Xenopus tropicalis: one gene and its partners. The protein of the gene in region 2 purifies or fractionates together with the protein of the main gene of each other region. This does not show direct contact. Links are inferred from orthologs where the notes say so. Each region holds a gene or a part of one and is shown on either strand. Other genes may lie near its edges.

Evidence for each region.
Region 1: the proteins of retreg1 (region 2) and map1lc3a purify together in Homo sapiens (affinity purification with western blotting; 3 studies listed by BioGRID and IntAct, with this or other methods). This does not show direct contact. The link is inferred for Xenopus tropicalis from reciprocal best matches to the Homo sapiens genes RETREG1 and MAP1LC3A.
Region 3: the proteins of retreg1 (region 2) and gabarapl1 purify together in Homo sapiens (affinity purification with western blotting; 3 studies listed by BioGRID and IntAct, with this or other methods). This does not show direct contact. The link is inferred for Xenopus tropicalis from reciprocal best matches to the Homo sapiens genes RETREG1 and GABARAPL1.

The regions. Positions count from the first base shown.
Region 1 is NC_030686.2:41,174,535-41,184,834, forward strand, and holds the start of map1lc3a (microtubule-associated proteins 1A/1B light chain 3A), read right to left. Parts: upstream 6,762-10,300; 5' UTR 6,704-6,761; coding exon 6,664-6,703; intron 1-6,663. UniProt on the Homo sapiens protein: Ubiquitin-like modifier involved in formation of autophagosomal vacuoles (autophagosomes). While LC3s are involved in elongation of the phagophore membrane, the GABARAP/GATE-16 subfamily is essential for a later stage in autophagosome maturation.
Region 2 is NC_030682.2:79,275,225-79,285,624, forward strand, and holds the start of retreg1 (reticulophagy receptor FAM134B), read left to right. Parts: upstream 1-5,581; 5' UTR 5,582-5,698; coding exon 5,699-5,733; intron 5,734-7,729; exon of another isoform or gene 7,730-9,564; intron 9,565-10,297; exon of another isoform or gene 10,298-10,338; intron 10,339-10,400. UniProt on the Homo sapiens protein: Endoplasmic reticulum (ER)-anchored autophagy regulator which mediates ER delivery into lysosomes through sequestration into autophagosomes.
Region 3 is NC_030683.2:18,814,587-18,824,798, forward strand, and holds the start of gabarapl1 (gamma-aminobutyric acid receptor-associated protein-like 1), read right to left. Parts: upstream 6,461-10,212; 5' UTR 6,378-6,460; coding exon 6,288-6,377; intron 1-6,287. UniProt on the Homo sapiens protein: Ubiquitin-like modifier that increases cell-surface expression of kappa-type opioid receptor through facilitating anterograde intracellular trafficking of the receptor. Involved in formation of autophagosomal vacuoles.

The DNA of each region.
Region 1 (10,300 bases), on a different chromosome or scaffold from region 2:
CTGCATACTGTATCCTTGTCTAACATGCAGTGCTAACCTCCATGAAAAATTGGTTATTTTTTATTCTATAGGCATTCAGTAGCTGACTTGGGCTCAAATTTAGACCCCCCCCACCTGTCAACAAAACCTGTCCTGTTATTCTTCATCTCTGCATTTAATCGAAAGATTAAAAGAGATGCAGATAAACCAAAATCTAGCACAGTCTACAGCAGTTCTAATAATCAAAATATCACAAACTGACAAAAACTAGAAACTGAAATCCAGCCCTGCCTGAGCTTGTCCTGGTAACCTGCAGTTAGTAGATTGTTTTAGGTAAGATTAATAACCAACCCTGCCCGAGCCTGTCCTGATAATCTGCGTATAGGAAATACACTTACATTAAATTAATATCCAGCCGAGCCTGGCCTGTTAACCTGCAGTTAGATCGTTCTAGGTATGATTAATACCAAGCCTTGCCTCAGCCTGTCCTGATAATCTGTATGTAGTAGATCCCCTTACATGAAATTAATACCCAGCCCTGCCTGTGCCTGTCCTGACAATCTGCAGTCAGATCTTTTATAGTAATTTAATACCCAACCCTACCTAAACCTGTCCTGTTGCAGTTAGTAGATCTTTTCAGGTGAGATTAATAAGTGACTGCAAATAATCAGGACTGGCTCACACATTAGGGTATATTTCAGATTTAAAGGGATCTCCTAAAGGCAGATTATCAGTACACATTCAGCGATAACCAGGTATCAATGTAATGCACATGTTACACTCCTGTGTGAACCAGTCCTAATAAATTGCAGTCACCAGATAACACTCAGAGATTACTGAGCCAGTCCCACCTTGTACACAGCAAGTGATGAACTATTAAACTGCAACTCCCAGCAACATCTGCAGGGGTGCCAGTTGCCTGCTATGGAGGGAAGGTCGCTCCAAATGACACAGCCTGGCATCGGGAAGGGGTTAAGTCATGTGGCACCCTGCAAGGCGAGTGAGAGAAGCACCAGACTAAAATAGCTGAGTGTGTGTTTGTGTACAGGGAGGATGGGAGGAGAACTGTACGTTTCAGCCCAGGAAGGATCTGTCCTGTCTATTAACTCGTGGGACAGAGGGGCACAGTAACCTGCCCGTAACCCAGCCATTCAGTGCACAGCAGAACTCACATATCAGCGTGTGCGCCCCCGCCCTGCGTGCAGCTAAACTAACAAGGTCATTGTAACATGAACCAGGGCAATAGAAAGCCCTTCCCCCAGGTACATTAGAGTGCTAGCTTACTGCATTACACACTCAAAAAACCTTCTTATACACTCCTTCACCTTCCACTGTACGCAGAATTTTACGGCACGGGTCAGGGGGGCTCACTGCCTAACATACGTGGTACAGGTTTAGTGCACACAACACACTATGTGCAGGGCTTCTGGATAATTATAGGGTCCCCTGTGTGTGTACTGGATGTAACATAGTAAGTTAGGTTGAAAAAAGACAAGTTCAACCTTAATGCCCATATATAACCTGCCTAACTGCTAGCTGATCAAGAGGAAGGCAAATAACCCCTTCCGAAGCCTCTCTAATTTGCCACAGAGGGGGAAAAAAATCCTTTTTGACTTCCTACTTATGGCATATATAACCTGAGCCCCCCCCCCTGATAGGAGAGAGCTGACTCTCAGCCTCCGTAGTCAGCTGAACTGCACAAAATATGCTGATGTGTACATTTTCAATAACAGGAGGGTTTCATAACTCCATGTTGTTTGTCTATTTCTGATAGGCCGGTACCTTCCTGAATGGTTGTATTATTTTTGGAAAAGTGTTTCCTGCCCAAGGCAATGGCCTTACAGGACGATCCACCCTCCCTGTGGCTTTTTATAGGGGAGAGATCACCCTTCTATCATGTACAGACTAGTAGAACCTGGGGCCAGGGAATGTGAGTTTTAGCACATATGGCTACACCAGCCATTTCAAGCAGTTTTATACTTCTAATATTACCCTTTCAGATAAGCTGCTCTGTGGCTTGAGGGTTTCCTGAATATGCAGGTGGCGTCTCCAATGAGACTTCGCTTTGTATTTTGCTCTCTGTGCCCTTTTTGGATTTTAGCACTGTGCTGCCAGCCGGATGGAAGTGCTGTTTCACCTCAGCTTACCACAGCTCCCCCACTGGCAATTTATCAGGTGCTGTCAGCGATATGTCATGGTCCCACACCTTTAAAATCCCAAAAGCATCCTTGTATTTTTACACCTGGAGTGCATATGGCTGCCTAACCTTCTCCTATCTAGGAGATCAGCTTTCTCATTTAATTAAAAAGCAAAACAAAGAAATAGCCTTGCAACAGAGGTCCAGGCTCAACCACCTGTTCTGCCGGACAGGAAACAAAGTGCACAAAGGAGGTTTGCTTTCTTAGCAGCCTTCTATACTAAACATCATAGTAGATAATAGCCTCTGGGAAGGAACTGGGGCTGTGGGATAGCAGGTATAGTAGGGAGAGATGGTGCCTATAGTAGCAGTGGGGGGATAATAGCCTCTGGGAAGGGACTGGGGCTGTAGGATAGCATGTATAGTAGGGAGAGATGGTGCCTATAGAAGCAGTGGGGGGATAATAGCCTCTGGGAAGGGACTGGGGCTGTGGGATAGCAGGTATAGTAGGGAAAGATGGTGCCTATAGTAGCAGTGGGGGGATAATAGCCTCTGGGAAGGGACTGGGGCTGTGGGATAGCAGGTATAGTAGGGAGAGATGGTGCCTATAGTAGCAGTGGGGGGGATAATAGCCTCTGGGAAGGGACTGGGGCTGTGGGATAGCAGGTATATTAGGGAGAGATGGTGCCTATAGTAGCAGTGGGGGGATAATAGCCTCTGGGAAGGGACTGGGGCTGTGGGATAGCAGGTATAGTAGGGAGAGATGGTGCCTATAGTAGCAGTGGGATAATAGCCTCTGGGAAGGGACTGGGGCTGTGGGATAGCAGGTATAGTAGGGAGAGATGGTGCCTATAGTAGCAGTGGGGGGATAATAGCCTTTGGGAAGGGACTGGGGCTGTGGGATAGCAGGTATAGTAGGGAGAGATGGTGCCTATAGTAGCAGTGGGATAATAGCCTCTGGGAAGGGACTGGGGCTGTGGGATAGCAGGTATAGTAGGGAGAGATGGTGCCTATAGTAGCAGTGGGGGGGATAATAGCCTCTGGGAAGGGACTGGGGCTGTGGGATAGCAGGTATAGTAGGGAGAGATGGCAACAGAACTTCATATCAGGTTTGCCCAACCAGATGAGGGGCCACTGGGTGTAGTTCATCAGCACTGAAAGGCCACGTTAGTTTCAGTAAAAGGCAAGCCCCCATGTATTTGCTATGCTGTGGGCCCTACCAGCAGTGAGTATGAGGCAGTGTATATTCGGCCACTGATGGAAACCGTTCCAGGATAAATGACAGCTGGATGAGATTCCGGCAGGCAGTTGCATAACAGGCACAAATTCCAGGGAACTGATACCCAGAGCCAAGTCACTGGCAGGGTATAAATACACATTTCCTTTGTTTGTAAACAGCTATCCACTTACTTGTCCCCAGGTAGGTACTGACCCGGCACATGTGACATGTTACTTGTTCCAGCCTAATTACATAAAAATCCAAACCACTCCTTATTCCAGGAGCCTTTATTGCCCAGAGGGTATAAAGTGCACCATTAGCCATAGAGGGACCCAGAGAGGGGAAACTGGGCGGGGCTTAGATAAGGTGAGAGGGGGCCACCTGTTAGTGACATCATCACCGCGCTGAGAACGAGGCTCCCAGTGTTTATTCACTCTGCACTGATAAACACTGGCCACATAGCCATCTGCACAGGCTGTATTTATACACATTATATATATATTTACACACAGGGACTGACTCAGCCTGTCCTGATATCTACATTTAGAACACTGAACATTAAATAGCAAGCCAAGCCTGTCCTGTTACCTGCTGTACTGGCTATAAATGTAGCCCTGTCTGAGCCTGTCCTGATTACTTGCTTTATCAGCAGTCCTTGTACATTAAGTAATACAAACAGAATTGTTATACCTGTCCTGTTTATTTGCAGTCAGGCCATTGGCACATTAAATGGTAACTCAGGTCTGTTCTAGCCATTTTTGATAAATCCACAGCCAGCCTAGACTTAGCCTGTCCTGATATCAGCAGTTTGGTCACTGTACATTATACAGAAACACGGACGGGGCTGCCTGAGCCTGTCCTGATATCAGCAGTCTGGTCACTGTACATTAAACACAAACACTGGGCTGCCTGAGCCTGTCCTGATATCAGATGTCTGGTCACTGTACATTAAACATAAACACTGGGCTGCCTGAGCCTGTCCTGATATCAGATGTCTGGTCACTGTACATTAAACACAAACACTGGGCTGCCTGAGCCTGTCCTGATATCAGATGTCTGGTCACTGTACATTAAACACAAACACTGGGCTGCCTGAGCCTGTCCTGATATCAGCAGTCTGGTCACTGTACATTAAACATAAACACTGGGCTGCCTGAGCCTGTCCTGATATCAGGAGTCTGGTCACTGTACATTAAACACAAACACTGGGCTGCCTGAGCCTGTCCTGATATCAGCAGTCTGGTCACTGTACATTAAACATAAACACTGGGCTGCCTGAGCCTGTCCTGATATCAGGAGTCTGGTCACTGTACATTAAACATAAACACTGGGCTGCCTGAGCCTGTCCTGATATCAGGAGTCTGGTCACTGTACATTAAACATAAACACTGGGCTGCCTGAGCCTGTCCTGATATCAGGAGTCTGGTCACTGTACATTAAACATAAACACTGGGCTGCCTGAGCCTGTCCTGATATCAGGAGTCTGGTCACTGTACATTAAACATAAACACTGGGCTGCCTGAGCCTGTCCTGATATCAGGAGTCTGGTCACTGTACATTAAACATAAACACTGGGCTGCCTGAGCCTGTCCTGATATCAGGAGTCTGGTCACTGTACATTAAACACAAACACTGGGCTGCCTGAGCCTGTCCTGATATCAGCAGTCTGGTCACTGTACATTAAACATAAACACTGGGCTGCCTGAGCCTGTCCTGATATCAGCAGTCTGGTCACTGTACATTAAACACAAACACTGGGCTGCCTGAGCCTGTCCTGATATCAGGAGTCTGGTCACTGTACATTAAACACAAACACTGGGCTGCTTGTGCCTGTCCTGATATCAGGAGTCTGGTCACTGTACATTAAACATAAACACTGGGCTGCCTGAGCCTGTCCTGATATCAGGAGTCTGGTCACTGTACATTAAACACAAACACTGGGCTGCCTGAGCCTGTCCTGATATCAGGAGTCTGGTCACTGTACATTAAACACAAACACTGGGCTGCCTGAGCCTGTCCTGATATCAGGAGTCTGGTCACTGTACATTAAACACAAACACTGGGCTGCTTGTGCCTGTCCTGATATCAGGAGTCTGGTCACTGTACATTAAACACAAACACTGGGCTGCTTGTGCCTGTCCTGATATCAGGAGTCTGGTCACTGTACATTAAACACAAACACTGGGCTGCCTGAGCCTGTCCTGATATCAGCAGTCTGGTCACTGTACATTAAACACAAACACTGGGCTGCCTGAGCCTGTCCTGATATTAGATGTCTGGTCACTGTACATTAAACACAAACACTGGGCTGCCTGAGCCTGTCCTGATATCAGCAGTCTGGTCACTGTACATTAAACATAAACACTGGGCTGCCTGAGCCTGTCCTGATATCAGGAGTCTGGTCACTGTACATTAAACATAAACACTGGGCTGCCTGAGCCTGTCCTGATATCAGGAGTCTGGTCACTGTACATTAAACACAAACACTGGGCTGCCTGAGCCTGTCCTGATATCAGGAGTCTGGTCACTGTACATTAAACAGGAACAAGGGGCTGCCTGAGCCTGTCCTGATAATCATCAGCAATAATGAGATTATGTCCAACTAATAATAATAATAATAATAACAATAATATGTGCACCCCCTTTCCTACAGAACCCCTGCCCTGTTTGAGCCTGTCCCAATAAACTGCAGTCCCACCACTCACATTACAATATACGGGGCATTGCCTGTGGCACAGAGAGGGTGCCCCCCTTTCCTACAGAACCCCTGCCCTGTCTGGCCTGTCCCAATAAACTGCAGTCCCACCACTCACATTACAATATACAGGGCATGGCCTGTGGCACAGAGAGGGTGCCCCCCTTTCCTACAGAACCCCTGTCCTGTCTGGCCTGTCCCGATACTGAGACTGCTGCTAAGCAATGTGCCATACCCACAGCAAATGCTGATGAACAGGACAGGCCCGGGCAGAAGGAAAGCTGCCAGTTGTTGTTGAGGAAGGAGACTGGGATGTGCCAGATGGAAACATGTCCCGATAATGTGCAGGCAAAGCCAGTCAGTGAGCGGCAGGTGGGACAAAGCCCTATTGGGGGGAGGAGGGTACAATCCCCGCAGCCCCTAAACCTGTCCCGTTATTATGGGGCACTTTGGGCAAACACTACACTGGCTCCCCCGGTCTGGTGGCGACTGGCAGCCATAGCCACATTAGGATCGCAGCTGATCAGGACCGGTTTAACCCCCCCTGTTCCTTAGGGGCGCCTCCTCAGTGCCAGTATGGCCCCCAAGCCCCGCGGTGCCACCCTCACCCCCCCACAGTGGGCAAACACTCACCGAAGGTTCTCCTGTGCTTAAAGGGCCGCTCTGACGGCATCCTGAGGGGTGTGAGTCCCAGAAGCTAGCACTCAGCCCGACTCGCCCAGTCTCTCTCTGCCTTTGGCTTCTGTTCGCCCCTTTGTGCGTCTCTCCCCACTCTCGGCTGGCTCTGTGCGGATACAATGTAACAACATGACGTCACGGAGGCGCTCAGGCTCATATATGAGCAAAGGGTGCCCCCTGCTGGCCATTCTGCGTAACAGCACCCTGGCGCTTAAACGCCTATGTTACGGCTCCCTCCCTGCATTCTCCGCTCTGTTCCATACTAGGGGCAGCCACACTTACACTCAGTACTATACATTACACTCAGTACTATATAGCGTCTCATTAATAGCAAGAATATAACTACATAGCGCAATACAGGATAGTACATCGCATTGCCCACTCTCTTATTGGGTCATTATACTTTTAGCGCCCGTCGCCTCGTTAGCGCAGTAGGTAGCGCGTCAGTCTCATAATCTGAAGGTCGTGAGTTCGATCCTCACACGGGGCACAGTGTTTTCCTTCCAATCCAGTTGAAATAGCACTGGGTACGTTTCTAAAACGGTAAAATAAATTTTATGCCAAACAAGAGGCTTTCAGTGTATTCAGTAGGATGTTTATTAATGTGCCCCTGCAGCAGTTATACAGGGATGTAAATCCAATATAATATACTCCCATTGCCTTGGAATTGTATGGGCAGAAACAGTGGCATAGCTAAAAGTTACTAGCCATCAAAAAAAGCATTATATTATACATAGTTACATAGGGTTGAAAAAAGACCAGAGTCCATCAAGTTCAACCCTTCCAAGTAAACCCAGCACCCACAACCTATACTTACCAATCTATACACTCACATACATAAACTATATATACAACCAGTAATACTAACTGTAGATATTAGTATCACAATAGCCATGGATATTCTGATTGATCAAGAACTCATCCAGGCCCCTCTTATAGGCATTAACAGAGTCTGCCATTACCCCATCACTAGGAAGGGCATTCCCCAACCTCACTGCCCTCCCCGTGAAAAACCCCCTACACTGCTTCAAATGGAAGCTCTGTTCCTCTAATCTAAAGGGGGGGCCTCTGGTGTGTTGATTATGGCCCCCGTATACTTAATGCAGAGCTGAAACTAGGGATAGTGATCTATGGGGTAGGGAGAGACCGAAGGGCAGGGGGAGCAAGCAGGGGGGTAGTGGGCAGCCCAGGGTAGGCTGTGGACCAATGACAAATGTGGGGGATTGAAGTTGAATGGGGCAATCGCGGCACTGGGTTAAGTAATATTGCCTTGGGTGCCACTACTTCTTCGGTAGGGTCTGACTTTGGGTATAAGACATTTTTCATAAACATATATCGTCTGCAAATCAGTCAGTGCCCCACTAGGCCCCTATTCCTCTTGGGCCGTGGGCAGTTGCAAGGTTTGCTTCTTCTACAGGAACATTCCTGGGCCAAAAGCAGTGCAGGTCTAATAAAAATGTCTGCAAAGCACACAAGGGGTGCACAGGCCTGAAACCTGCAGGTTGGGTGGGTTTAGTTCAGTAACTGTACTTCTTGAGTGGGTTGTGGATTCCAAGGTGAAATTGAACTCAGGACCCCAGTGTTGCAAGGTGGAAATGCTGCCCTCTTATTGGTTGTTGGCAAAGGGAATCTGGAGCCTAGTTAAGACCAGAATTTCAATTGCACACTCCCTCCTACTGATTCAGCCTGAATGGGCATGGGCAGGTGTACCAATACAATGTAAGGGGGGGGCTGGCAAAGTATAATGATTCCGCTGCTTCCCCACCTTGTCAATGTGCCATGATTGCACTGCAGGGCCTGTGTATGAAGCAGCTCAGGAAACTATCCTTCTTAGCTTCTTACTAATGTGCTTGTAGGAATATGCCCCCCAAACCTGGCATATAGTTATTTTTGTGGTTACCTAAGGGCAGAGGGAGAATATAAGATATTTCAGCTAATGCCAAGCGACTGGGATTAGAATTCAAGTCTTGGTGGCATCAGAGAATGGCAAAATACATAAATGCATGAAAATAAAGTGACGTTGGTTGTGCTGCTTGGTTTGGGGCACACTGATTGGCCATTACCCTTAGGTGGATGCTCTCTGAGCAGGCATCAAATATTCATTGTGGGAAGCACAAAGCAACGGTGCATGAAAGTTCTATTTCCCACACGCTGCGAAGCTTTCTGCCAAAAAGACCCGAATCCAAGTAATGATTTTATACTGAACAGTGTGTGAGATATCTTAAAGGAAAAGGCAGGGAGGGCCTTTGTGCTGACCCCCTCTTCCCTGGGTTGGACTGGGGTGGATTAGCTCAGGGGGCCCCCCCACAGGGGCTGTGTTGCTTGGTGTGGGGGCAAACTGATTGGCCATTACTCTCCACTCCCCCGAGTGAGCATACCTAGGCATTATTGGGGGAGGAAGGTCCAGGCCCACCCCCAGTTTTTTGCCAGTGTCCTTGCCCCCACCTGTCTCCGAATTCCTCATGTAGACTATGATTTCTTTGGCACTAAATTGATCCTACTATATATTCGGGGTTATTATACATCAGTGCTGATCCCCCTCTGTGTGGCCCCCCACCTGTCTGGCTGCTTTGATGGCTTACCTTTGTGTTAGCTTTAAATGGTATCAGTACTGAGATTAACTGGCCCCCTGCATTGTTCACACCTCAGGCTCAGACTGTAAGCACCCACATTGTTCACCTGTTCACACCTCAGACTGTAGAAGCAGTGTCAGCATTGTGTCACTGTATGTACTGCCTGCCCTATGCTGCCTGTGTGTATGACACACATAGGCAGCATAGGGCAGGCAGAGTATGGCACACACAGGCAGCATAGGGCAGGCAGAGTATGGCACACACAGGCAGCATAGGGCAGGCAGAGTATGGCACACACAGGCAGCATAGGGCAGGCAGAGTATGGCACACACAGGCAGCAAAGGGCAGGCAGAGTATGGCACACACAGGCAGCATAGGGCAGGCAGAGTATGGCACACACAGGCAGCATAGGGCAGGCAGAGTATGGCACACACAGGCAGCATAGGGCAGGCAGAGTATGGCACTGAATAGATCCTACTATATGTTCGGGGGTATTATACATGAATGTAGCACTGAATTGATCCTACTATATGTTCGGGGGGTATTATGCGTGAATGTAGCACTGAATCGATCCTACTATATGTTCGGGGGTATTATAAGTGAATGTAGCACTGAATTGATCCTTCTATATGTTCGGGGGGGTATTATAAGTGAATGTAGCACTGAATTGATCCTTCTATATGTTCGGGGGTATTATAAGTGAATGTAAATGCACTGAATTGATCCTACTACATGCTTGGGGCGGATTATACATGAATGTGGTACTGCATTTATCATGCCATGTGTTCTGGGGGTGTATACATGAGAGAACAGGGGGACACCTATGGTTGGGGGGAAGGGGACCAAGTAGGATTCGCTACTCTGTGCCGGGCCCCTGTGAAGATTCTTTTATAGGTGGGAGGGTGGCACAGAGTAGTGACGCCACTGTTCCTTAATAAAGTAGAACTGCAGTTTAACAAAGGATTAGTCTTCAAATGCTTAACATTACAGTATATTATGAGCTTTATTACCAGCCCTTT
Region 2 (10,400 bases):
TGGTGTTCCTATTTGGGTGACTTGCCTTTGTACGCAAGAAATTGTGTGAGATAAATGCGGCAAATTGCAACATTTTTAGGCGATTTTCTGAAATGTCATAAAAACCGATAACTTTAGGAAAGCTTTGCGGCTTGGTACTTTGGTGTAGAAAGGACTCTTTACCCTTGTTGGATTTGTCAGAATGTGTACTTTCCAAAAATATATGGTTTTGTGGGGATCTCTGTATAGTTAGGGGAAGTTTTGGCACATAATACACTGACAGGGGGCTCTGTGTGCAAAAGCTGAGCTGGCAGGCGAGAAATCCTTATGCGCTATTTTCATTTAGGGTTCAGTACATACCGCAGACTTTGGTATATCTATGCATATTGGGCATCAAACTGTTCAGTAGGCCTCTGGTGTTCCTATTTGGGGTGACTTGCCTTTGTACGCAAGAAATTGTGTGAGATAAATGCGGCAAATTGCAACATTTTTAGGCGATTTTCTGAAATGTCATAAAAACCGATAACTTTAGGAAAGCTTTGCGGCTTGGTACTTTGGTGTAGAAAGGACTCTTTACCCTTGTTGGATTTGTCAGAATGTGTACTTTCCAAAAATATATGGTTTTGTGGTGGTCTCTGTATAGTTAGGGGAAGTTTTGGCACATAATACACTGACAGGGGGCTCTGTGTGCAAAAGCTGAGCTGGCAGGCGAGAAATCCTTATGCGCTATTTTCATTTAGGGTTCAGTACATACCGCAGACTTTGGTATATCTATGCATATTGGGCATCAAACTGTTCAGTAGGCCTCTGGTGTTCCTATTTGGGGTGACTTGCCTTTGTACGCAAGAAATTGTGTGAGATAAATGCGGCAAATTGCAACATTTTTAGGCGATTTTCTGAAATGTCATAAAAACCGATAACTTTAGGAAAGCTTTGCGGCTTGGTACTTTGGTGTAGAAAGGACTCTTTACCCTTGTTGGATTTGTCAGAATGTGTACTTTCCAAAAATATATGGTTTTGTGGGGATCTCTGTATAGTTAGGGGAAGTTTTGGCACATAATACACTGACAGGGGGCTCTGTGTGCAAAAGCTGAGCTGGCAGGCGAGAAATCCTTATGCGCTATTTTCATTTAGGGTTCAGTACATACCGCAGACTTTGGTATATCTATGCATATTGGGCATCAAACTGTTCAGTAGGCCTCTGGTGTTCCTATTTGGGGTGACTTGCCTTTGTACGCAAGAAATTGTGTGAGATAAATGCGGCAAATTGCAACATTTTTAGGCGATTTTCTGAAATGTCATAAAAACCGATAACTTTAGGAAAGCTTTGCGGCTTGGTACTTTGGTGTAGAAAGGACTCTTTACCCTTGTTGGATTTGTCAGAATGTGTACTTTCCAAAAATATATGGTTTTGTGGTGGTCTCTGTATAGTTAGGGGAAGTTTTGGCACATAATACACTGACAGGGGGCTCTGTGTGCAAAAGCTGAGCTGGCAGGCGAGAAATCCTTATGCGCTATTTTCATTTAGGGTTCAGTACATACCGCAGACTTTGGTATATCTATGCATATTGGGCATCAAACTGTTCAGTAGGCCTCTGGTGTTCCTATTTGGGGTGACTTGCCTTTGTACGCAAGAAATTGTGTGAGATAAATGCGACAAATTGCAACATTTTTAGGCGATTTTCTGAAATGTCATAAAAACCAATAACTTTAGGAAAGCTCTGCAGATTGGTACTTTGGTGTAGAAAGGACTCTTTACCCTTGTTGGATTTGTCAGAATGTGTACTTTCCAAAAATATATGGTTTTGTGGGGGTCACTGTATGGTTAGGGGAAGTTTTGGCACATAATACACTGACAGGGGGCTCTGTGTGCAAAAGCTGAGCTGGCAGGCGAGAAATCCTTATGCGCTATTTTCATTTAGGGTTCAGTACATACCGCAGACTTTGGTATATCTATGCATATTGGGCATCAAACTGTTCAGTAGACCTCTGGTGTTCCTTTTTGGGGTGATTTGTCTTTATCTGATCTTTATTAAGAAATTGTGAGAGATAAATGCGGCAAATTGCAACATTTTTATGCGATTTTCGAAATGTCATATAAATCTGCAAACTTAGGAAAGCTTTACAGCTTGGTACTTTGTAGCAATAAGAAATATTTACCCATAGATTCGGGGGGATGTGTATTTTCCAAAAATATATGGCTTTCTGGGGTGAATGTACTTTTTTTGTAGCATTATCCCACATAAAGGATGTAAATGTGTTGATTTTGCAGGAGCTGAAATGATAGATCATATGGGGGTATGTTCCCATTGGGGCCCCTACATGCCACATACTTAGGTAAACCTATACATATTGGGCATCAAACTGTTCAGTGGACCCCTGGCGTTCAAATTTAGGGTGTTTTATCTTGGTACCTAACACTATGTGGGAGATAAGATGCTGCAAAGTGGAAGCTTTGAGGGGATTTTTGGAAATGTCATCAAAATTGCTAACTTTAGAAAAGCTGTGCGGCTTGGTACTTTGGAGTAGAAAGACATGGGTACCCATTTTAGATTCGGAGGAATGTGTACTTTCCAAAAATATATGACTTTCTGGGGTGAGCGTACTTTTTTGTAGCTTTATCCCACATATAATAATGTAAATGTGTTGATTCTGCAGGAGCTGAAATGACAGAAATGACAGTTCATATGGGGGTATGTTCACATTGGGGCCCCTACATGCCACATACTTAGGTAAACCTATACATATTGGGCATCAAACTGTTCAGTGGACCCCTGGCGTTCAAATTCAGGGTGTTTTATCTTGGTACCTAATGCTATATGGGAGATAAGATGCTTCAAAGTGGAAGCTTTGAGGGGATTTTTGGAAATGTCATCAGAATTGCTAACTTTAGAAAAGCTGTGCGGCTTGGTACTTTGGAGTAGAAAGACATGGGTACCCATTTTAGATTCGGGGGAATGTGTACTTTCCAAAAATATATGACTTTCTGGGGTGAGCGTACTTTTTACTAGCTTTATCCCACATATAATGATGTAAATGTGTTGATTTTGCAGAAGCTGAAATGACAGAAATGACAGTTCATATGGGGTATGTTCACATTGGGGCCCCTACATGCCACATACTTAGGTAAACCTATACATATTGGGCATCAAACTGTTCAGTGGACCCCTGGCGTTCAAATTCAGGGTGTTTTATCTTGGTACCTAATGCTATGTGGGAGATAAGATGCTTCAAAGTGGAAGCTTTGAGGGGATTTTTGGAAATGTCATCAAAATTGCTAACTTTAGAAAAGCTGTGCGGCTTGGTACTTTGGAGTAGAAAGACATGGGTACCCATTTTAGATTCGGGGGAATGTGTACTTTCCAAAAATATATGACTTTCTGGGGTGAGCGTACTTTTTACTAGCTTCATCCCACATATAATGATGTAAATGTGTTGATTTTGCAGAAGCTGAAATGACAGAAATGACAGTTCATATGGGGTATGTTCACATTGGGGCCCCTACATGGCACATACTTAGGTAAACCTATACATATTGGGCATCAAACTGTTCAGTGGACCCCTGGCGTTCAAATTCAGGGTGTTTTATCTTGGTACCTAATGCTATGTGGGAGATAAGATGCTTCAAAGTGGAAGCTTTGAGGGGATTTCTGGAAATGTCATCAAAATTGCTAACTTTAGAAAAGCTGTGCGGCTTGGTACTTTGGAGTAGAAAGACATGGGTACCCATTTTAGATTCGGGGGAATGTGTACTTTCCAAAAATATATGACTTTCTGGGGTGAGCATACTTTTTACTAGCTTTATCCCACATATAATGATGTAAATGTGTTGATTTTGCAGGAGCTGAAATGACAGAAATGACAGTTCATATGGGGTATGTTCACATTGGGGCCCCTACATGCCACATACTTAGGTAAACCTATACATATTGGGCATCAAACTGTTCAGTGGACCCCAGGCATTCATATTTAGGGTGTTTTATTTGGTTACTTTATGACCTGTAGGAGATAAGATACTATAGACTGGAAGCTTTGAAGCGATTTTTAAAAAAAATCACAAATTTTGATAAAAACCAATAACTTTAGGAAAGCATTGCGACTTGATAGTTTGGAGTAGACAGACAGTTGTGCCTATTCTGTATTCCCCAGAATCTGTTCTTTCCAAAAATGTACAATTTTCTGGGATTAACCTTCTGTTAGTGGAATTTTGGCCTTGAAATCCAAAGTATGCAGTTTTTTTGGAGCAGTGCTTTGGGAATTTGGTAGTGTACTGCTGGGAGTTTTTGACCTATACAAGTGAGAAATCTCCATAAAACTATATATATTTGGTATTGGCACGTTCAGGAGACATGGGACTTTCCAAATCAGTTGTATATTCGTGCATAAAATAATTTTTGTTTCTAGTATGTGTGATTATATTATGGAAAATTTGTTTTTTTTTGCATTTTTAGACATTTAGAAGCCTATATCTTGTTACAGAATTGGAATTACACAAAAATTCTACCATATTTTGAAAGCTTAGGTTGTTCTGAAAAAAACGATATATTGTTTTCCTTGGTAAACTAAAAGTCCCCCCGAGGAAAGGCCCCTAAAGTGAAACAGTGCAAAATGTTCAAAAACTGTCTGGCAATACAAGTTCCGCTTTGACCAAAATGGCTGGCAGTAAAAGGGTTAAGAAGGATAATAATAAACTTGAGAGAGTGAAGAGATGTACACCTAAAGTGGCAAAAGGGAGGATTAAACTATGAGTCACGGGAAAATATTTTTTTTTTTGTGTTGGGGGGGGGGGGGGGGTAAGCAGGTAAAAGTGTTATGTGTATATGTGTGCACTAGGGCTTGTTTGAAAGGGTTGAGCTTGATGGGCTTTTTTTAACAGTGGCATAACTATCTATATACCCCGCGGTCACAGCAGGGCCCAGCCCCCCTGCCCAGCCTCTTTTCTACCTTAAAAATGGCTGCATGGTGTCGGATGAGAGGTGCGGTGCAAGTAAGCCGGGGGGGGGGAATATTTGAGGGAGCCTGGAGCGACCAAGTTACACTACTGCTAACTATGTATACAGTATTACAGAATTCTGTAGTCTACACTGCAGTATAGATAGGAGAAGCCACAAGTTTTGTAACTGTGGTTATATTTCTACCAATACACATGAGATTCTTTATATACAGGAAATGTCAACATGCAATATTTTTGTATCCTTGGTCTGTTGGCAGCTTTTATCATCCCTTGTATGGACATCTTAACATTAGTAAATGGGGCCTACAGTTTTTTTTAATAAAAACAAAAGTTTTGCAAAGCAATCAGCTGAATTTTAGAACTTAATATTCTTTAAGGAAATAGCTTATTGCTATTCTTCATTTGTTTTTGTTTATGAACTAGGATACAGTACTCCTGAAACCAGGAGTTGTTATTATGAAAGTGTTTGAAATGGGTGTTGTCTAATCACTCCACAAGATAATGTGCCAGCAGGCTGGGACTGAAGCACAGCCCATGAGATCCATGGCTCGCTCAGCTCTATTTATAACAGCCAATCATTGCTCTCATGCTGTCTGCTCCATTCAAGACAAGCTGACACACACAGGAAGAACATAAACACAGACTCGGAGCTCACATAGCTTGCTCAGACTGTCTCAGCTCTCCTTACAGTCGCGGCCAAGTTCAAAAGACACATCTGTACTTGGATTACTTTTTTGGCACAAACAATTTTTGGAGAAGGCAGAAATGCCTGAAGGAGAAGATTCAGATCCACATGGAAGGTACTGGAAAGTAAATGTGCCTTGCTAGGAAAGTGTTCTTTTGGGTTGATTTCAGTGATATACACATTTGTAAAATTTGTCATGAATTACTGTTTGCATTTGTTGCTTCTGTTTGTATAACATTGTGTTCATTTGCCCTCTGTTGTTCATTGCTAATTAAACTGTTATAACTGATATAAATAGCATAAATATCTTTCTCTTTTCATAGTTTTTGTCCCAATAACATACTCATTTTCCTAAGAAGTTGTTAGTATATTTGTACAAAGGCCCCCCTGTGGTGGTCATCAGCATTCCCTCACAGGGTGCATTCCAGTCAGTCAGCAGTGGCATGAGAGTCAGTCACATTCAGCTCTGACCGCCAAAGGGCATCTGTTGGACTAACAATAGAATTTAGTTTTTTTTTTGTGTACAGTGATTAATTTTTTGCATTGTCTTAAGGTTAGATGTTATATTAATACTCTCTTCAGTATGCCCAGTATGATGATATCTAGAAAATAAATAGGAATTAAGCCATTAATATTCTTCTATTCAGGCATTCTCCTATTTATATTACAATGTCTCATTCAAAGCACTGCATGGTTGCTAGGGTAAATTGGAGCACAGCAACCAGATAGCTGCTAAATGCCATACTGATAAGCTGTTAAACACAATCTGATTAATTCAAAAACAAAAAAAAATTTAAAAACTGCAAATAGCCTCAGAACAATACTGCCAACAAAATGCAAAAAGTTAATTTAAAGGCAAACTACCCCTTTTAAGTAATATTTCATGACAATGAATATGTTGCTTTTGGTGGCCTGTTGTAAGTTTCCTATTAAAAAGTAACAACCAGGACTTCAGCAAATTCTGCTTTCAATAGCAATTACATTTACACCTAACTTTTAAAGCGCTAATAATTTTTAATAATTGAAATTGGAATTATGTTTTCTTTTATTAGGCAAAACAATTATTTTTGGGGTTGACATGTCCTTTAAGGTTATGGCCTAAAAATGCACCTTGGAAGATAGATGCAACCTTATGTCATGTTTGCTGTGATTCTGGTCTATAATTGAAAGCAATCTTCAACTGTTCCTGGTACTTTGTTCTTAGGAAAAGTCTCTGCAACTAAATGACCCATAAGGCATTAGACTATGTATGGAAATGTCAGGGCCTTATGGTCTTTACAGGGTTGAAGTCAGGATCAGGGAGGAAGCTGAGTTCAGAAAATTATACGCCGTATCCATGGGGTAAAGCAAGTCTCTTAGTCAAATTCAGGCTAAAAATTGTGGCAAGTAAGAACAAAGCTGAAAGAAACGTGTAGATTGAGCCAAAACAGTAATTTAATGCACCAAGGAACTTTACAATGAAAGATATATATTGAGGCATTGAATCCGGGTCTTTGGTGTCCTTTCGGTTTGAATTTTCACGCCAAAGTGGCATGTGATGACATCATGCAGCAACAGTGTGACAATGTGACATTGTGGCCATGGGCACTGCCTTCTTTGGAAGGAGGCAGAGTGCTTCTAACCAGAGAACTCCTGACAGGGCATCCCCTGGCACACTCCTAGTTAGCATGATTTAGAATCTTGCTTCCTTATTATTGCTTATTTGTGCCCCTAGACCAGCTCATATCATCATCATCATTTTTTTTTATAATACAGAAGTCATGAATCTCTCTCCTATTTAATGAATGGTGCTTAGTGGTGTAATTTATCACATGACACACTGAAACTTGTGCATTAGAATATGTAATGTACTCTCTGTTGTAAAATATGAGGAGTCAGTTCGAGAGCTGCTCCTGCCATGAGGCAAGGTAAGAACTTTCACCCAGCTATCAGCACAAGAGCCACAATATAAATTTTTGCACTCTACATGGGCTTGGCACAATTTACATCCTTCTTTTAGCCCTTAATATATTAGCCTGCATGTATTTATGCGCACATTCAGCTTCATGCCTAAATTATATGCTATGTATATGCCTGCTATATAAATAATGGTATATACATAAAGAACAATAAATACTAATATGGGACAGTTCAGGGTTGAATTTTCAAATTCATCTTATCATTTATCATTTAAGGAATTTTTTAACATGTCCAAAAAGGTTCCCAAATGAATCTATTTAATATAAAGTATTGTTTTCTAAAGGCAATATCTAATAGCACCAGTAATTTTTTCTCAGGGGGAACAGCAATTGATTGAAAACCTCAATTTAGGAGATGTGGGGTTATGAAGATTTGAGCAAGTATTGTAGGGTTATGAACACTTGAGCAAGTATTGTGAGTATTAGTGTAATGCAAGTCATTCAGTAGGATGCTGACAGGTTGCCCTGTGCCATGCTCTGGATTTTAAATCCTGCCCAAGATACATCTGGAGCAGATACTCCAGATGCAAGTTCTTTAGTAAGTCTAGTGAGGATCATCATAGCTAAACCAGAATATAACCCAGGGGTGGGCAAACTACGGCCGCGGGCCACATCCGGCCCCTTGGCCTTTTTAATCCGGCCCGCCGCCGACGCCAAGTCTCATCACGCGAGACTGGAATTAAAGAGATGAAGGGGGTGTAACGCTGGCCTGGCCCTGCCCGCCCTGGCCCGGTCCGGCACGGGGGTAAGTAAATGTGGCCCGTGAGCCAAAAAGTTTGCCCACCCCTGATATAACCTATGGTACACATGGCATTTGATGTTATTATTTTTCTGTTACTGAGAATGCCACAGGTTGCTTGAACCCACCTCTTATTGCAGTGAATAGGAAGTTAATGGGAAATTGCTTATAGTCTGTATTTTTATTCAAATCCATTGTAATTGGAGGCAATTTCAAACAAGTCATGCAATTGTAACCAAGATTTTATTTCCAATTGCACTTAATAAGAATAATATATTAACTTATTAAGGATTACATCCTTGAAGCAGTGTTTCGACTTAATAAGCCACTCTCTTTGTGCAGTAGTTCATGTTTACTTAACCACTTATCTTTTAAGTATGGCTTCCCTGCTGTCTCCTTCTTGTGGTTTTTCTTGTTTCTTTTTGTATCCATTTCATTAGAAAAATAATGTTGATTGTGTATGTCTACTGTAGGACTGTGTAACTGCTCAGTCTGTAATTTTGTAAATATGGGAGCAGCTGTGGTTGAAGTGGTATGATTTATTTACCTTTCAAAACATTTAACCACTTACATTTACCTTTTTGTGTGAACAGTTTGCCACTGTCTGTTATTGCAGTACCAATAAACCAACAGACATGTAAATTATAAAAACAGATACTTTCCCATCTCTTGAAAACTTTCATAGAGTTCTCACAAAAAATGTATATTACCTGTGTATGTCATCTCCTGATTGTTGTTGTAGCAAATTAGATGAAAGCAAGATGACAAGCATGTATAATGGCAATTGTACATGGCTCATTCCAATCCTCTTGGCACCTGAGCAATTAGTAGCTCTGTAGCTGTGATTGTCAAATTCTTTGAGTTCAAGTCCCCATGAAGGTCCAACCAGTTAGCTTATGAAACTGGTACATGTTTGAAAAATGTTGGTGTATTGGTCATTCAGCCATAGTTTGGGTGAAGTTATTCACCCCAAATTTCAGCCTAACTGTCCTTCAAGCTGGGCCTTCAGGTGTAAGTAGTAAGTTCTAAAGGCTATTTTCCCTAGTTCTCATCCTAATTGGTGTGTCCCTCACAACCCCAAGTGCCACTGTTCTTAGGGGGCTCTAAGAGATTGAAGTTGAAGCTCAGTCTACCTGAGAGGAACTTCCTTGCTTTCTTCTTTGTTGTATAGGATTTGTTGGTGCAAATTTACAAAGGGTGAAAATGTAGTACATGATGGCGAGGTTAGTTTTCATCTTTGTCTCTGTCTCTGATCCAACATATAACAGGAAGGAAAATAATTAGTATACCTGCCTTTATTAATTCTTAACTGCACATAGCAAGGCAAAACAATCATATCAGGTTTATCCCGCTATCCCAGCACAGGGGGAGGGGCCTCAGGTTTATTATCCATGGTTTAAATTCCACAAATATCTATCCTGTGGCATAACAAAACATTACAGACGCTCAGAGCAAAGCATTTTTATGTTCTTCCAAACAGCAAATTACTTGATTTAAAAAGATAAATACAAGTTGCTCAATAGTTAGGGCTCATGTTCCCCCCCAACAGCCCTTAGACCCCAGCTGTCGCTATGCCAACGTTCTCTGTTGTTACATGCCTGTATATATATATATATATATATATATTAGAGCTGGGCGGTATGACCAAAAATTTATATCACGGTATTTTTCAAAATTATATCGGTATCACGGTATTTGACGGTATATAAATAAATAATAAATATTGGTGGCCAGGGCCCCTAAATAGTTTGCTGGCACCCCCCCCATACATAAAAATTGGTGGCCACCCATCCCCCCCACCCTCCACCCTATACATAAATAGAAATTGCTGGCCACCCATACCACTACCCCACCCCCCAAGACCGTGCCAATAAATTGCAAGGTGGCCAGGCAGGCACCGCCATAAAATACGCAGGATTGCAGGCCAGGCACCCCCGAAGACAGCGCCCCCCCCATGCACATTGGTGTTCAGTGGAACTTACCGAACTTGAGGTTCCTCCAGCGATGCGTCCGATCGATGCGTCCTAGCGATGGCACTTTTGTAGAGCGCTGACGTCGCGTGCGCGCTGACGTCACAACCCGGAT
Region 3 (10,212 bases), on a different chromosome or scaffold from region 2:
TGTACAGAAATAGGTTATTCTACAAAAATAGATGTAAATCAAAATCCCTATTTAACCCATATGGAGCTAAAGAATTTAAACGATGAATCCATTCTACCTCAGTTTTCTTGAGGATTTTAACACGGTCTCCACCCCTTCCAGGGGCAGGGACATGTTGTATTACCCGATATCTAAGATCATCAGCTGTATGTCCCAGTTCTAAACAATGTCTAGATACTGGGAGAATTCTATTACCAGTATTCACTGTCGATCTATGTTGTGAAAACCTGTCCTTAACTTTCTGAATAGTCTCTCCAATATAAATTAAATTACATGGACAGACAAGCATATATACCACAAAATTGGTGTCACATGTATGATGTCCCCGTATTTTATATGATCTCCCTGTATGGGGGTCAGTAAATCGTGGCCCCACCAAAACAAAACGGCATTGGGTGCAACCTTTACATTTGTACATACCTTCTCTAGGTGGACCTAAGAAAGTAAATTTTCTCGGTACAGGGGAAACCTCCGCCCTTATTAATTTACCACCTATTGTATGGCCCCTACGATATGACATCATAGGAGCCTGTTGGAATGTTTCAGTTGTAGGATATGATTCCCTTAACAAATGCCAGTGTTTCTGAAGGATAGATTGAATCCGACCACTTTGCGCATGATATTGAGAAACAAACGTCATACGTTGTGTAGTTTTGCCTTTATTAGGTTGACTAATCCCTTTATTTCTGTTCACTTTAGAAAAACCTTCCTGAAGGACATGTTTAGGATAACCCCTGCTTGTTAGTTTTTTATCCATTTTGTTCAGATCCTCTTTAACAATAACTGGGTCATTAGCTATTCTGCAGACCCGTGAAAATTGGCTAATGGGAATAGATTTTTTAACCGATACAGGATGAAAACTATCAAACCTCAACAACTGATTCCGATCAGTGGGTTTTGTATAAATTCGTGTGAGGAATTTTTGTTCACTTCTACTAACCTCAACATCCAAAAAGACTATTTTGTGGCTATCTGCTGTCATTGTAAATTTAATGTCCGGATGGGCCCTATTTATCTGATCACGGAAGACGGACAGGGACTCCAGGTCACCCCGCCATAGGAGGAACACGTCATCGATATACCTCCACCACGCAAAACAATGTGTAGTGAAAAGTACATTACGATAGACGTGTTCCTCCTCAAACCAACTCATAAATGAGTTGGCATAGGCTGGGGCGACCTTGGAGCCCATGGCCGTCCCCCGTATCTGCAGATAAAACCGTCCCGAAATTTAAAGACATTTTTATACAAAATAAAGGTAAGAATATCCACAAAAAAATTAATCTCCATTTCAGTGTATTGTCCACTTTTTATCAGAAGTGTCTTTACCGCCATAATCCCTTCAATATGAGGTATAGATGTATATAGACTGGTAACATCAAAAGTTACCAGCCATACTTCATCAGCCAATTCATTTATATTAGATAGTTTTTGTAAAAAATCATGAGTATCTCTTATATATGAGCGTGTCTTCTGAACTAAAGGACTAAGTATCTTATCCAGGACCTCAGCTATATTGCTGGTAAGTGAGCCCACCCCAGCCACTATAGGTCTACCTGGTGGATTAATGGGGTCCTTATGTATTTTAGGAAGTACATAAATTACAGGTATAATGGGAAAGTCTATCCACATATATTGTGACGTTGACATAGTAATAACATTAGATAGTACTGCATGCTTTAATAAGTGATCCAGCTCCGTTTAAAGGATTCCGTTGGATCACCTTTCAATGGGATATAAACTCCAAGGTCCCCCAAGTGACGTTCAATCTCAGCAATATATTTGTTCGTGTCCATAACAACTATCGCCCCTCCTTTATCTGAAGGTTTGATAGTTATGCTGGACATCGATTTAAGCTCGGTTATTGTCTCAATTTCAGCTTTAGACATATTATATGGGCCCTTATGGGCACTATGTTCAATATCAGACTCAACCTCAGACCGAACTTTTTGAATATACATTTCTACTGCCGGATATGTTGTGGGGGGGACAAAATGGCTACGTGATCTTAAGCCAACCTTGCTAATATCAAAACCACATTCGGTATTTTCAGCTTCATTATATGTCATATTATGAGTGAAATGTACTTTGAGTCTTAATGCTCGAAAAAAACGATACAAATCCACCTGTAACTGAAAAGAATCTAACTGTGATGTAGGACAAAAGTTTAAGCCCCGTTCTAACACCTGTATTTGTAATGGCGTTAGTTCAACTGAAGAAAGGTTAAATACTATCTGTTGCGAACTTTCCGTTGCGGTTGTTGTCTCCGATCCTTTCGCCGTGACTTCCCGATTTCTTCTGGAGCATTTATATATATATATATATATATAGAAAATACAGAATGTCGGCACTCACAGGATTTTCACGAAAAATAGTCACTAGCAGTCAGTCATGTTTTAGAGATGCAATGTGCTTCCCTGACGAAGGTTCCAGTAGGGAACTGAAACGTTGGATTAATAAACTCCACTTGATTGCATCTCTAAAACATGACTGACTGCTAGTGACTATTTTTCGTGAAAATCCTGTGAGTGCCGACATTCTGTATTTTCTATTCCATGTCTGCTGCTCTGGCACCCAGGTAGTGCATTTTAACTTTGGTGTGCTCTTCATTCTGCATTTTGTATATATATATATATATAAATAAATGATAGAAAAAGATATAGTGCTTGGGGAAAGGCAGAACTAAAAAGCTTCAACATACAACAACAAATTACATTTTAGGTGAACTTCCCCTTTAAAGTCAGAATGCCTGGAAGTCTGCATCATCAAATACGAGAGGGAGACAATTTACTTATGCATCCTATACTATAGCTGCGTAGGTATAAAAAAATTATAGTTTACACCAGACTGCCTTAATAAATATAGTGATATATTATAAATATATCGATAATTTGTATGCATAATGGTTGATTTGTTATATTAGTACATGAGAATCCTGTCACTCCAAATAAATGTTTTTCATAAAGGAGAATAATAAATCTACAATGATGTAATTATGTTGAACACAGGAGGGGAATGTGTAAAACAAGCAGGCAGTGACTTATCATGCCCAATAAATAACATGTATATATATATATAATATATACTGGCATCTGTAGCATAATAACGGCCTGGACTGCAGCAGCCAAGTACTGAAAGGGTTAACTACAGCGCAAGCAAACACCTCCCCTCTCATTGCAGTGCAGGCAGTAGAGGAGGAAAGGCCCGGGTTGCCCTGTAGCACCTATTTGCCAGTAACACACACTAGTCACACAGACTGCAGTCTCCATCAGCTGGTGGTGCCACTGAGATATGCCTACTGGGCACCATTAATATGGTATGTACAGACGGGCACAAAAGGAAGAGACATAAGGGGAGGAGGCAGAGCATATTGTATGTTACGGTGTCCGGTGCTGCCGTATGTAAGTGCAAGTACAGCAGCTCTATGGCTTAAATAACTATATGGATATTTTAGTTGCCCTTTACAACACTACCATATTTACCCCCATATGTAATAAAAGGCACTACGTTTGCCCGGGAGCAGTAACCCATGGCAACCAATAAGATGTTTGCTTTTAAACACATGACCAGTAAACTCAACCTCCTGGTTGCTATTACTGCTCCTGGGGAAACTTAGTGCCTTGTATAACATATGGGGGATAGATTACTAATTAGCCCTGCAATCTCTTCTATAATGTATAAATATTAACATTTTATAGAATCCACATTAAAGCTCTTGGTTATATGAAAGATACAAATATAAGGATATTATAAGTCACTTTGACCATATAAAAACACAAGGCCAAAGACATCATTAAGCACTGTTTATAAGGATATATGTTAAAGGAAACTCATGGTTCTTGTGTATTACAAGGATATTAACAGTTACATATGAGACCCATAGCCATATAAACGCACAAGGACACAGGCTGAGCACTTTTATACAGGTCAGGGAACTCAAAATTGTAAGACAAGTCACCGCGGGGGCTCTGCACCCCCCCCCCAAGGGACCTCCACCATGGTCCCCATCACCCTCGGGCCCCTGCTGCCCACCCAACCCCCTCCCCCACGCGTGCATACTTAGGCACATTGGGAGAGGGGGACCTGCGGGCCTCGGAGAGCCCAGCAGGGATCAGTTCTGGGCCAGTGGGGCCCACCACGTTTTTGTCCTGCCAGCCCAGTCCGACCCTGCATGTAACACAAATGACATCACTGAGCACCGTTTATAACTAATGACATCACTAAGCACTGTTTATAAGGATATCAGTTACAAGATATTCATAGCTCTTGTGAATAACAGTTTATGACCAGGGGACCGGACAATAACGTAATTATTATATACAGGGGGGGAGCAGGAGAAGGTCTGTCCCTGATGACTAGTATTACTAATGTATTTACCCTGGGAGAAGAAGACAAACATGGGCATTGTAGAAAGGCCTATGCCTCCCCACCTTGAGATAAATCCTTCTTAGGGTGAAGACACACAGAACTACTAGTAGCAGCTACTTGTCTTGGCTACTAAATTAGACAATGCTGATCATTTAATGAGCCGTGAAAAAGTAGCTGCTACTAGTAGCTCCGAGTGTGTATAGTCGCTTGCAAGGCAGGACAAGGCTCTGCAGCCAGAGTATGTATGTATGTATGTATAACTTTATTTATAAAGCGCCACAAGGGTACGCAGCGCTGTAAAATCTTACAATATACACAATTACACACAGGGAGGACAAGTGATATAATAAATAAATACAATATATATATATATATATATATATAAGTGCCATGTGGTATGAGACACAGTGGGAAGGAGGTCCCTGCCCCGTAGAGCTTACATAAGTGACAGTACATGGTTCTGCAAGCTCTGCGGTTAGGGAAAGTGACAGTCAATAAGTAACTAGACAGGACAATGTTCTGCACCAAGGGAAAGTGACATGCAGGACTCGCACTGCTGGGACTGATATAATGAGGAGCTGTAGCCTGGGAGGGGGGTATAAAGCTACAGATCTATAGCAGGGGGGGGGGGGCAGTGTATGAGCCAAGGAAAAGGCAGCAGGTGACAGTCAGTGGCTCTGCAGTGGGGGCAGCTGACAGCCAATGGCTTTGCAGCAGTGGCAGTGACAGTCCATAGCAACAGACAGTACATGTTTCAGTGGCAGCAGAAGGTGACAGACCAGGAATCGGAGGAGGGGCAGGTGACAATGAGTGGCTTTCTTTCTTACAGATGTCTCTAACAATGACTGCGGCCCATAGGAAGTCTGGCAGAGAGCACAAAGCTCCCTACCGAAGGAACAGCACAACTACAAAGCTCTGTGCCGTCAGCAGAAAGCCAAGGAATTAAAGGGGAACTCCACCCAAAACCTGTTTTACGCACACTGATAGCAAATGTCATTCTAAGCAGCTTTCCAATGTACATTCCATTTTAATGGTTTGTACTTAGTGTAATTGCCGTTGAAATTAACATTAATTTCTCCCTTTCTGCCGCTTCCTTTCCAGAGTTGAAACAATGTAGCAGAAGTCCTGCCCGCCCAGGGGCTGCTACATTGTTCCATTGTCACAGGAGGAGTTCAGAGAATAGGAACAGACGGTACTTCCCATAGCAATGACATCGAACACCGAAATACTATAACAAATGTACATGGGAAAGTCGCTTGGAATTACATTGTCTTTCATTGTGCAATAAGCAGTTTTTGGGTCGGAATTCACTCTAAGGGAACCCATATCTGTGCTGACAGGGGGACATTAGGGTGCTGTACAGATGCAGTGTGGGTAGGACAGGGATACAAGGGATACAGAGTGGGTAGGACAGGGATACAAGGGATACAGAGTGGGTAGGACAGGGATACAAGGGATACAGCGTGGGTAGGACAGGGATACAAGGGATACAGCGTGGGTAGGACAGGGATACAAGGGATACAGCGTGGGTAGGACAGGGATACAAGGGATACAGAGTGGGTAGGACAGGGATACAAGGGATACAGAGTGGGTAGGACAGGGATACAAGGGATACAGCGTGGGTAGGACAGGGATACAAGGGATACAGTGTGGGTAGGACAGGGATACAAGGGATACAGAGTGGGTAGGACAGGGATACAAGGGATACAGTGTGGGTAGGACAGGGATACAAGGGATACAGAGTGGGTAGGACAGGGATACAAGGGATACAGTGTAGGTAGGACAGGGATACAGTGTGGGTAGGAGAGAGATACAAGGGATACAAGGGATGGAGAGTGGGATCCATAGGGAGATGACACAGCTCTGCTGTCCCTACTTACAGGCACCCTATCCGGGTATTTCTTTCTGATCTTCTCGCCCTCCTTCTTCCTGTATTCGAAAGGATGATCCTCCTTATACTGGAATTTCATGGCTGCCCCAGGAGATAGTGTATATACAGTATATAAATGTATATATCAGTCAGCTGATGCCCCTCGCTGTCTACTGCTCAGCAGATGCAATAACAAGCTATGTTACAGTGTACTGAGCAAGGGCAATGTGACATCACTAAGCCCCGCCCCTGGGCAGTACCAGCAGAACAAAACAAAGGGGGATGCTGAAATTAACCTTCTCTCTGCCAGACAGGACAAATGAAAAATAAACAGTCTCAGTTTAAAGAACCCTATAGCTCGCAGGCGCTGAAATCATATTCCAGGGTTTTTAGGGTGGGGGTTAGTGGGAAGGGTGCAGGCCAGGATGAGATATAGTAAATAGGCAGTGGCACAGGGCATGGCAAGTGATTGACACGCAAACCTGTTTGTCTGAGTCACCTGTTTATTCTCTGTGGATCACGTGAAAGCCAGAGTCACAAGGCAAGGTGACACAACAGTACAGCACTGCGGTACATAACACTATTAACCTGCGACTGGCCAGGGACCTGGGCCTCATTATTAACCTGCGTCAGAGAGCGGCCAAAGTCCCTGTATAACCACTTCCGGCCATTGATCTGTAGCCCATAATCTATTCCCTGGCGCCGAGCCACACTTTCACTTATACCAGCGCTTCTCAACCTGTGGGTCGGGACCCCTTTGGGGGTCGAACAACCCTTTCACAGGGGTCGCCTAAGAACATCAGAAAACACATATTTCTGATGGTGTTAGGAATAATTTTATGGTTGGGGGTCACCACAACATGAGGAAGGTTGAGAACCACTGACTTATACCCTTTCTGCACTGCTGGTTCTGACTGTCGTAACAAAATAACAGAAGCCGACTGATTAGCAGACCTGGAGGAGAACTGACTCCTGCTACATTGTTTCAGAACCAGAGAACAGGAAAAGATAAACCAGCGGTTCTCAACCTGTGGGTCGGGACCCCTTTGGGGGTCGAAGGACCCTTTCACAGGGGTTAGGAATCATTTTATGGTTGGGGGTCACCACAACATGAGGAACTGTATTAAAGGGTCGCGGCATTATGACGGTTAAGAACCACTGACTTATACCTTTTCTGCACTGCTGGTTCTGACTGTGGTAACACAATAACAGAAGCCGACTGATTAGCAGACCTGGAGGAGAACTGACTCCTGCTACATTGTTTCAAGAGTCAGAACCAGAGAACAGAAAGAGATAAACAAACACAGCTTTTAGCTGAAATTTCCTTTACAAATAACTTGAAAATCACAGAATGTGCACTGGAAATTTGGATTGTTTTTCATTATGCAAAAAACTATTTTAGGGGTGGAAATCCCCTTTAACTTCCTCTCTGTGACAGAAGTCTTAAAGGGGTAGCTCTTAGCAAACTTTCAAATTGTCTTCATTTTTTATTTCTTATAGTTTTTTAATTATTTCTCCTCTTCTGCCTCTCTCCAGCTTTCAAATGGGGGTCACTGACCCCGGCAGCCAAAAACTATTGCTCTGTAAGGCTACAGTTGTATTGTTATTGTTACTTTTTATTACTTGTCTTTTATTCAGGACCCTTTCCCATTCAAATTCCCGTCTCTCGTTCAAATCACTGCCTGGTTGCTATGTTAATTTGGACCTTAGCAACCAGATAGCTACTGAAATTCCAAACTGGGAAGTTGCTGGACATAAAAGTAAAATACATAAAAAAACATAAATGATAAAAAATAAAGACCAATTGCAGATTGTCTTAGAATATTGCCTTCCACATCATACTAAACCCATTAAAGCCTACTAAACAATAATTTAAACATTAGTAGGATTGTTTTGCCTCCCGTAATTCATAGCTTTCAGGAAAATGGGTTTCTGGATAATGGATCCCATACCTTGTACCCATCCAATCCTGGGTCCACAAATCATGTCAAAATCTCATACTCCTCCTGTAGACTAGATAGTAGGTTCCCATACAACGGGCTGGCTTATTTGTTGTTCTGAAATAATATAACTGACATGAATATAATTCAGAAGAGCAAATAAACCAGCCATACTGTATATGAACCTACTTTCTAGACTGTATCCCCCATATGTAATAAAAGGCACTACTGTTGCCCAGTAACCGTAACCCATAGCAATCAATAAGAGCTTTTAAACAGGTGACCAGTAAATTCTACCAACTGATTGCTAGCTCCTGGGCCAATATAGTGCCTTACATTACATAATCCCATATATACTGTATATATATATATGGTGAAACAAAAGGTGTTTATTCAAAACAACATCTAAAATATATATATATATATATATATATATATATATATATATATATATATATGTATACGACATTGAAGAGGACAAGAATACTATATAAAAAATTCTAGATCTAGATGTTTGTGAATTGCGTTTGTCAGTAGTTACAGGGCCATTCATAATTGGTAAAATAAAGCTTTTGACTGAATGGGTTAACATCAGCCCAACAATAAAAAGGAGCCCCTCCCCTCTCATTGCAGTGCAGGCAGGGGCGGAGCAAAGGGCTCACCTCTCTCATTTGCTAACAAGGACACCAGAGATACAGGCTGGGAATGTACAGAGGAGGGAATGCAGACAAATATCCCCATCTGCCAGTTTCCTCCATGCAAACACATACGTAACATAACTGCCCTCTTCTCCAACAGGACTGCCTACAATGCTCACATGATTTATGGGTATTTAACCCTTTGCTGTCAGTAGCTGCTGAGAGATGTGCTCCAACAACAGCTGTAGGGCCCAGATATAACAGTTTAATGCCACTATCTTATCCAGTTCTTTCCATTTTGCCTTCTATCCCCCTTCTCTTCCTATCTGCTACTGCTGCTCTGCAGGGCTCGGGGTACTTGGCTCTAACTGCCACCTTTTCCTTTAAAAAACAAACCCTGCAAAATGGAAAGATGTCTATATATCCCTGCAGTGATGACTACACTTTCCATCAATCGAGCATTTGCTGAACCAGTCAATAATCAGCCCTGCAGCATGTGTATTGTATAGGAGCCCAGATTTAAAGGTGTCAGAAGCAAATGGGGCTTGAACTTCTGAAATCACAGAAAATTACACAAACTAATCTCCATCATTTTGAAACATGGAACATTTTCTGGCTTGGTTGGTTTTTCCATCGCTGCAGCATTCCCTACCTAGTACCCATGACAGGCTGGCATATAGGCTATTATTCAATGCAGGCAGTTTGCAGAACAGGCACTGAGAATTTCTCACAGCAAAACTGAATTACATCCATGCATTGGTCATTTTATTGAAATAATTCCCTAGTACAGCTGGCAGTTACGACACAGTAATTTCCTATAGGCTGTAAGACAATTCATCAGCTGCAGCGTCTTGGCACAGAAGGAGGTACAAAATATATGTTATTTCATTAGCTGTGCTTATGGAGCCAATAACTCAGGCGCTGAGAGAATATTGCTATTTACTATATACTAGCACGTTGGTATATGGATACGGAACTGGCAGCATACTGTACCTGCTGTTACTGCAATGAAAGGGTTCAATATAATGTTGAACTATCATTTATATTATGAATCCAGTAGGAACTTAGGGCTCATATTTGCTTGTTTATAGATAAGCTGTTTAGAATACAATGGTTATCAGGCCCAGACTGGCAATCTGTGGGTTCAGGCAAATGCCAGAGGGGCTGCTGTAAGGTGCCATAGACAGTCACTATTTATTGGGCTGGGGGGGGCTGTTTGGGCCTCTGTGTACTTGAAATGCCCGAGACTATTTTGAATCCCAGTTCAGGGCTGATGGTTATTTAAAGGGTAGTTCACCTTTAAATTAACTTTTTGTATGATGCAGACATTGGTATTCTAAGACAATGTGCAATTGGT